Linked DNA regions of Oryzias latipes. Each later gene encodes a partner of the first gene's protein in a complex. Links are inferred from orthologs where the notes say so. Each region holds a gene or a part of one and is shown in the gene's direction. Other genes may lie near its edges.

What was found. Proteins that work in one complex are often made in the same cells at the same time.
Region 2: stk25 (region 1) and strn4 share a complex: the UniProt entries of both Homo sapiens proteins name them as parts of the core of STRIPAK complex. The link is inferred for Oryzias latipes from reciprocal best matches to the Homo sapiens genes STK25 and STRN4.

The regions. Positions count from the first base shown.
Region 1 is NC_019875.2:5,713,974-5,718,107, forward strand, and holds the start of stk25 (serine/threonine-protein kinase 25), read left to right. Parts: upstream 1-1,275; 5' UTR 1,276-2,136; coding exon 2,137-2,166; intron 2,167-3,741; coding exon 3,742-3,972; intron 3,973-4,085; coding exon 4,086-4,134. UniProt on the Homo sapiens protein: Oxidant stress-activated serine/threonine kinase that may play a role in the response to environmental stress.
Region 2 is NC_019871.2:14,853,749-14,857,851, forward strand, and holds the start of strn4 (striatin-4), read left to right. Parts: upstream 1-1,275; 5' UTR 1,276-1,458; coding exon 1,459-1,803; intron 1,804-4,103. UniProt on the Homo sapiens protein: Calmodulin-binding scaffolding protein which is the center of the striatin-interacting phosphatase and kinase (STRIPAK) complexes.

The DNA.
Region 1 (4,134 bases):
GCTGGGATGACGAGATGCTTAGAGCTAAAAGTAGTGGGAGAAAGAAGCAGCAAAGCTGATTTCACTCTTCAGAAAACAAGAAATATTTACTGTTTTTGAAGAAGCTAATTATACATTTTCATCAACAGTGAACCCTTTCTTTAAAAATATTTTGACCATAAGATAGGAAACATTGCTCATAATTTATCACCAAATGTTTGATTTAAAAAATTCGTTTGACAGCATAAAAGGCAGATTAAAACATCTAGATGTGTGATGTTTTCTGGCAATTCAATTTGTTTTCTTTCCTCTAAATAAAAGGAATTTATGTTGAAAAAAAATGTGTGGTTTATTCCATACATTTTAACTGTTACATATGTTTGGATAGTTCTACTTCAGCCAATAATGTCCGGATGTATTTTGTGCAAACTTGTACTTGTCTAGATCTAAAGAGCTCCGGAGGTTTTCCTAAATTCTGACCTGCTGATAACATTCCGTTACGTCTCTTTGAGGCTGATCTAAACCCATTTAAACCTACAGAGCCGCTCTGGCCAAGACACACCGAGCGGGTTCGTTTGATTTTCGTTTACATGGGTCCCGCTCATGCCAAACAAATCCTGATTATTATATCCGCTGTTGAATAAAGATCACCCAAGCGGGTCTAACCTGATGCAGGAGCAGCAAAAAACCCGAAGCGTGCGTGCTCGGACCGAAACGCGGCGCGGGCTAACTGCAGCTGAAGGTGCGTTTGTTAGCGGACACCGGCGGAACCAGGTTACAGGTTATTACGTAAGACAGCCGAGGCTGCTGTCACCGGCACGCGCCTCCAATGTCACTAAAACAAACGGAGAAAAGGCGCCATTTTGAGGTTTAAGCTAACACCCCGCTAATTAATAATAATTAAAAAAAGAACGGTCTGTCTGTGAGGCGCCGGTGGGGCGGTGTTACGTAATCACCGTGAGTTAGCTGGGTATAAACCGGCCTGGCCTCAGCCTGACACGCGTTGAAAGCTTACCGTCCCGGGTTTTAGCACCGCTGCCTCCGGCGCTGCTCCAAACGCTCCGCTCCAGCTACAGCAAACAACCGAAAAAGCCGCAAACGCCGCGAGAGTCGGTGTTGCTGCCAAACGATGTTCGAGTTTGACAACAGGGGCGGAGCTTAACAATCATTGCACGAGAGGCTCCGCAAGCAGGCCGGTCGGTTAAGCAAAACGACCGTACACAAGTTACCCGACATTTATGTAAGAGCTGCACGCGCGCGCTCACCCAGAAACTCCTCTCATCGTTTGATTTGCATGGCGGGTCTTTTTTTCCGCAGTCTTAACTTCCTTTAATGCATGTCGCTTTTTATTAGTCAGTGTTGATTTTTTTTATTTATGATTTGCATTGTTCTGCGTAAATGTATGCCAGAGGAACTGCTGAGGGAAATCCTGAGTTCATGACCGTCTCTCAATTTTGTCTAACTCTCCTTGTCCGCATAACTGCTCCAGCAACACGTTTGCGTCACAGTTTCTGCAACATCCCACTTTTTTATTACAATTTAGATGCTTTTTAATCGGTGCTGTTTTAATAACCGCGAGCTGCACTTTAAAAAGACCTTTATTTTTTAAATAATCTAGCATTGAAACTTAACAGTTTAACAGGAACAAACATGAATTTTTATTAATAATCACTCAACAAAACAAATCTCTTGTGTAAATTGCTGTGTGACAGGGACGCAAAATAAACTACATGTCCCATCATCCTGGCTACTTCCTGATCACTGCGCATGTGCAATCGCTGTGGGCCGTTATTGTGTCCTCCTCAAGCTTCAAATGAACAACAGGCTAAGCCCTCCTAAAAATAAATTAAATATTTATTCCGACGGAGCGGGTTCTTTTCGCCCGGCGTGTCTCGGCGGACATTCATGGAGCGTCTCGGTCTGTAGCTCGTCGTTTCGCCGGGCGGGGTGGTCCTCCGGTGAACTCGAAGGCCAAAAACGGTTTTCGGAGTGACAGCCCCGTTCGAGGCAGCAGGCTGGCTGTTCGTGTAGCTGCTTAGCCTCCTAGCTAGTTTCCCAGACAGCTGCGAGCTGAGGGGTAAAAGCTCGAAGGCCGTCTGAGTGTTGGCAGGGCAGAAGAGCCGGAGCTGGCGCTCTGCCCCCGCGACCGGCAGAACCATGGCACACCTTCGGGACATGCAGAACCAGGTAGGGAGAACCTATCACCTCACTTCCCTTCCTGTCCTAGACCCGAACCCCTCACAGTTGGGCTTTTCAGGAAAACCATGTAGCTCTGGCTCTGCGATCATAAATCACCTGTAATCGTGTTCTAACAGGTGATACAAGTGTAAAGTTCTCAAGTCCATGTTTTTTATAAATCAGTTTTTTATGCGGGATGACATCCCGGTTTGAATGCAGGTGTGTTGTGTAAACGGGCTGTTCCGTCCACCTGTGCACAGACTGTACAGTTCTCCTTCACGTCCGCATGGACTCTTTTTACCTGGACAGCACCTGTTGCCTTTAGCTTTGCAGTAAAGCCTCTTCCTGGAAACCGGAAGTGTCGTCACGCAGATGCAGGTTACTGATCTCATCTCACCTCGTTGATGATGAAGCAGCATGCAGCCCATTAAACGTTTTTACTGGAATAGATCATATAGATCATCCTAGTTGGTTGAACCCATTGTTTTCCTGTTTCACTTTCTTTATTCTAGTATCTTCCACCAGCTTTTGGTGCTTAACCCCAACACATTTTCAGCTATTTTAACCATTCAACTATTCAAATGTTCAGCTTTATCCACCTATCACTTTGGTCCTTAAAATCCTTGAACCTTTCAAGATATTCCAGGATTTCCAGGATCTTCCATTGAAATTCATGGGGAATCCTTGGTGCAGAAGCTCGCTGGTTCGATACCGGCTCTGGCATTTTTTTGAAAAATATATCTTTTGTTATTGTGCTGTTTTTACTTTATTTATGGTCAACTTTGATTATTTCTTTATTTCTTTTGCCAATTATTACCCTTTAATTTTCCTTTTCATTCAGTAATATAGACTCAAGCCTGCGTTTTCTTCTGGAAATGCAGCTCCTTTAGTTATTGGATGAGGCTCCCTGCTACACGCCGTCTCCCCATAAACGCTGCTCTACAGAGACGTCGACCTTGCTTTAAAAAGTTTGTGCATTCACGAGTTGTTGGAAGGTTTGCGGTTTTTCTGACGTCGATGCGTGTTTTTTTCTAAGTCGGACGGGCATTTTTCCGACCATCCCAACACTACATGAACGCAGCATTTCTCTGAGTTTGTCCCTGGGGGGCATCAACCCACTCGTGGAATTAGCATAAAATAAAATAAAAAGTCGCAGTTTTCAAATAAAAACCCCCAAGATATCATGGTTTAAAATATATACATTATTTTTGAATCCTAATTATAGCATGTTTTTGTCCAAATTCCATATTATTTCTCTTGTCTCATGGGGTGGATTACCTTATCCCCGCACTGATCTGCTCCTGGTCCGGCCTTCTGTTTGCTCACCCCTGGTGTAACGTGTGACCTGCGTGTTTTTATAAATACTTTGGGTTCTTTTCCGTGTTCTTGTCCAATTCTCGGTGCTGTCGCAGCAGTTGGCAGTGCTGAGGATCACACGCCTGAAAGCTGGTGTTGGAAAAGAAACGAAATGAACCGTGACGGAGGGAGCAGTGTTGTGTTGCAGGCAGCGTTTCTGTGTCTGCATGCTTGTTTGAAAGGAAGTGCTAACAGCCAGCGGTGCTGCTTCTGTCCACCCTCCACCAGAACACCCACCTGGACCCGGAGGAGTACTTCACCAAGCAGGAGCGCATCGGGAAGGGCTCCTTTGGAGAGGTCTACAAGGGCATCAACAACCGCACTAAGGAGGTGGTGGCCATCAAGATCATTGACCTGGAGGAGGCAGAGGATGAGATAGAGGACATCCAACAAGAGATCACAGTGCTGAGCCAGTGTGACAGTCCTTATGTTACCAAATACTACGGGTCCTACCTCAAGGTGAGAGAAAAGCTGCAACTGCCTGCTGTTTACCTGCAAGCAAGGCTTTTATTTCCCACAGTTGAACTACTGTGTATATCCCCCCCCCCCCCCCACCCCACCCCACCCCCCAGGGGACCAAGCTGTGGATTATCATGGAGTATTTAGGTGGAGGATCTGCTC
Region 2 (4,103 bases), on another chromosome or scaffold:
GAGTTTGCTGGTTTATTATAGTCCCCATGTGGACTCCTGGATGAGGGGAAAATATAACAAAAGAAAAGAAATACATAAGTATATTTCACTTATCGTGTAACAAACAATAAACACATGTGTCCTACAGCCTGCACATGAGGTATAATTAAAAAAACAACATTCATGTAGTGAACACATCCTTAATGCAGCTGCAAAAATCCAGAATCTAACCTTATTTTGATGCATCTGCATCACTACATGCAGAACATGGTGTGATCACAACCTGCGCCACTTATCGGAAGGTTTTCAAGAGCTCTGCCAATGACATCGGCTTTAGAAAGCGTACTGCAGCGGCATTTGTGGTCCCATTCACACAGCTTGTTATAACAACAAACCGGACCGGGTCGGTAGCTGCAGAAACAAATGCTGACATGTATTATATATTTCTTTTTGTACAACTGTCATCTAAAATCGTATAATATTAAAAACTAACGTACACAATCTGATGAAAATAACATCGTGCCATTTGTAAGACTTTTAATAAACATTCAACCTTAAATTACCCCTACAAACCCTTAGCATCACGCTAGCATACTGTCTGCTTCTTACAGAAGCAGCGTCATTTCCGGTACAAGGCTTTCAAAATAAAGTGATATTTTCCAATGATCCCGTTTTATTATTTCTATCGTTTACTAGAGTCAAACATCTGCTCGGAATACTACCAGATGGGTGATTTAATTAGGTTACGTGAAAAAAAAAACATTTTAATGTTTCACAATTGTAAAATCTTATTGACTCAGTACATACTAGAATTTATTTGTTTGTTTGTTTTATGCTATAATTTCAAGAAGAGTAAATACTTAGTTACGTTTTATGAAGTGGCTACTGACAAGTGGATTTAAAATAAAGTTAAAGTCGGAAATAAATATATTGATTGTCTTGGTGGAAAATTAATGTCTTAAAATAGTCCGGCTCACAAAATGGCAGGAAATCAACCGCCTGGGTAACTCGCTCATTGTGGACCACAGAAAACGTCTCTTTTTTGTCAGTCGCTCACGGATTTTCAATGGCAAACATGTCGAGCAGGAAACAGTTCCCAAAAAAAGCAAAAATAATAGCTTAAAACAGAACAGTGACAACAGTCATAAGTAACAAGACATATTTTGTATTTCCATTGGTTTGAAATCATTTTTATATACCACCGTAAGTTTCACAGTTAAATGTTTTCTTAAGGTTACATTGTGGAAAATTTGTGGAAATTTTGTCTTTTAATCTGAAAACTCCAAAGCGGAAGTGTAGTATTTTACCGAGAGAATTGTGATTTTACTTTGTCGTCTTAGAAAGGAAGAATTGAAGGTAGCTTGTAGTAAAGAATAGTTGGATAAAAAGGGGACACTGGTTTCTATTTTAGTTATTTTTCGCTGCTGCATTATTCCCCCTCTCCAGCCCCTTATCCTGGCTGAAGGTTGAACGGGTAAAATGGAGGCGGACAGATCAGGCGGAGGACCAAACCCGAACTCCGGAGGCGGTGGCGGCGGCGGCGGCAATAGTAGCGGCAGTGGCAGCATTGGAGCGGGGCGCAACCCTAATGGGCCCAAAGCATCACAATGCCCGGCGACATCAGCTGCCGTGAGTGGGGCCATGGCAGCTGCAGCCACGGCGGCAACAGCGGGGGCCGTCCCCGGGTCGTCGCAGCCGCCTCAGGAGACGCAGGACGGGGACTCGGGATTGACGCTCCCCGGGATCCTGCATTTCATCCAGTACGAGTGGGGACGTTTCCAGGCCGAGAAATACCGCTGGGAGGCTGAGAGGGACGAGCTGAGGGTAAATATGTCTTCTCGTTAACTTTTTGTTAGTTGCAATATTGCCGAGTTGAGGTGAGTAACCCAAACTGCGAGCCTTATTGGACTCATTTTACCCATGAATGTGAAATAAAAGCCCCTTTGCCTTGCTGTCATGTTGTTTCATGACAGCAGCATGCTAATGTGTGCTAACATAACATCCCAGAGTCTTTGAAGATGTTTACAGTTTGGCTGCAGAGAGATGTGGTCCAGTGTTTGCTCTCCATAAGGAAGTCACAGGAAAACCCCTTTCATACGTTCAATTAGGTGTAATTACTTAAACAAATCTAATATTTTTTTTTATTTTTATCTATAAAAACAACCATTTAATATCAAGAAAGGTTGAATTTCATCATGACTAAGATTTAGATTTTTTAAATTAAAGCAATGACCCTACAAAAACTTAAAATAAAAAGAGCCTTGTTATAATAATCTCAAGAAAGTGTTTCAATAGTATTATAATCTTATTTTAATAAAACATGTCTGGCTGAACAACATTTTTTTCTTAGAATTCACTTTTCTTTGCCATTGGCAGACTTTTTATTATTTTATCACTTATTTAAAGAACAGTTTTAACATTGTTTTTGGCTTATTATTAGAGGGTTTATTTTTGCAGTGTAGAATGCTTTTTTTGCTTAAAAATAACAATTTTTTTTTAAACAAAAATAGTTCACATATTTGACCAATTGAAATGATCTTTTTCAGTGTAAATCTATCATATTGTCTGGAATTGTGGTAATTTAGCTTTAGGGTTGGAGAGGATTTTATCAATGCCTTTATTACGACCTCTACTTTATACAAAAATGTAGCTTTATGTTGTTTTGTATCAGAAAGCATGGTTTCTTTTTGTCAAAATGGAATTTGTTGTCTTATTAGAGATCAAACCCTTAAATAATTAACTTAAAGTCAGCTTGGCTTGTTATGGTGCGTTAAAAATAGTTTAGCAAGGATTCAAATCTTGGCCAGAGTTATGTTTGTTATTACATACGATTGCATACGTTTTTGTTGTCTGGAACAGTGAAATATATACGATGGAGCAGTTTTCAGGTCCATCTGCCCCACACTTTTAACATATATTATCATCCAGTCCTAAATCATAGTCTCTGCTTGTCTGTCTTTGTTTTATTTTTAATGCACCAACATACATTCTTCTTTATGGTGCATTTATAAAGGCCATCGATCTGAGTGTTTAGAATACAATATATGACTCAGTGGCATAAAAATGCCCTATAGCAGGGCCGGAGTTCCCTGATGTCCATACTTGCTTAAATGCCAACAGCAAAAGAGCGAGGTTGGAGTGTACAGCTCTCCAGAGTGATTACCCGGCAGCGCTTTACTTAATAAATTATTTCACAATTACGTAAGGAAATAAAATGCATGCATAGATATGTTCCCTTCATTTGGAAGTGTTCATCTTTTCATTTTTTCATCCCCTATGTTGCTTTCCTTCCCTCAGTTTTTAATTACAGGAATCTAAACGGTATCTGATGGAGTTCTCAAGCTAGGGAGGAAAACCACAGAAGACATATCATTGGCTTTTTTTCTTCTCTCTATTGGGCTTTTTTTTTTTTTTCCTTTTCCACTTTGCTCTCGACTCAAAACATGAAGTTATAAATAGTAGCCTGATAAAAAATGAATGAACAATAACAAACTGCCTGGACCGTGCTTGCTGCTTTTGTGGGCTCGGCAAAGAGCGGGAACGGAAAGTCCAAGGCAGGCAGGCAAGCGTCGGGTCCAACATGGCACTACTGATTGTTTCCAAAGTGGGTCTTTGCTGCACAAGGTTCGGCTCCACGTGCACAACAGCATCATGTGCTGATAGGATGAGGGGTTCGCTGAAGTGCAAGGCTGGCTTATATTTGAACACCCTGAGGCCACAGGCCGTTGGCTGTTGTTGCCAGTATGCTGAGCACGCCAGCGACCATCCCTGCTGGTTAAATGCTGCACGGTTAGCAACATACTGTGCATGCTTGGGGACATTGTGTGGTCAGCTCAGGTGCATTTGAATGTTTGTACACTTAAGGGGACACGATGGTAATGGAGGAACCCACTAAAAGATGCAGCAGAGTGATGGAAAGGATTAATGGAGGATTACAGCAGTGGAACTCAGGGAAGCGTTTGTGTCTTTGAGATGAAGCGGCCCACTCTCTGTGAGTGTGTGACTCTTGAGATCCCACCTGTGGTGGCGTGTCTCCATCGACGGGTTAGGAATTAATCCTCCTCCTCCTCCTTCGAACAGGTGGAACACGTTGGGTCAAATGCGGGACAGGGGACAGGTGGCAG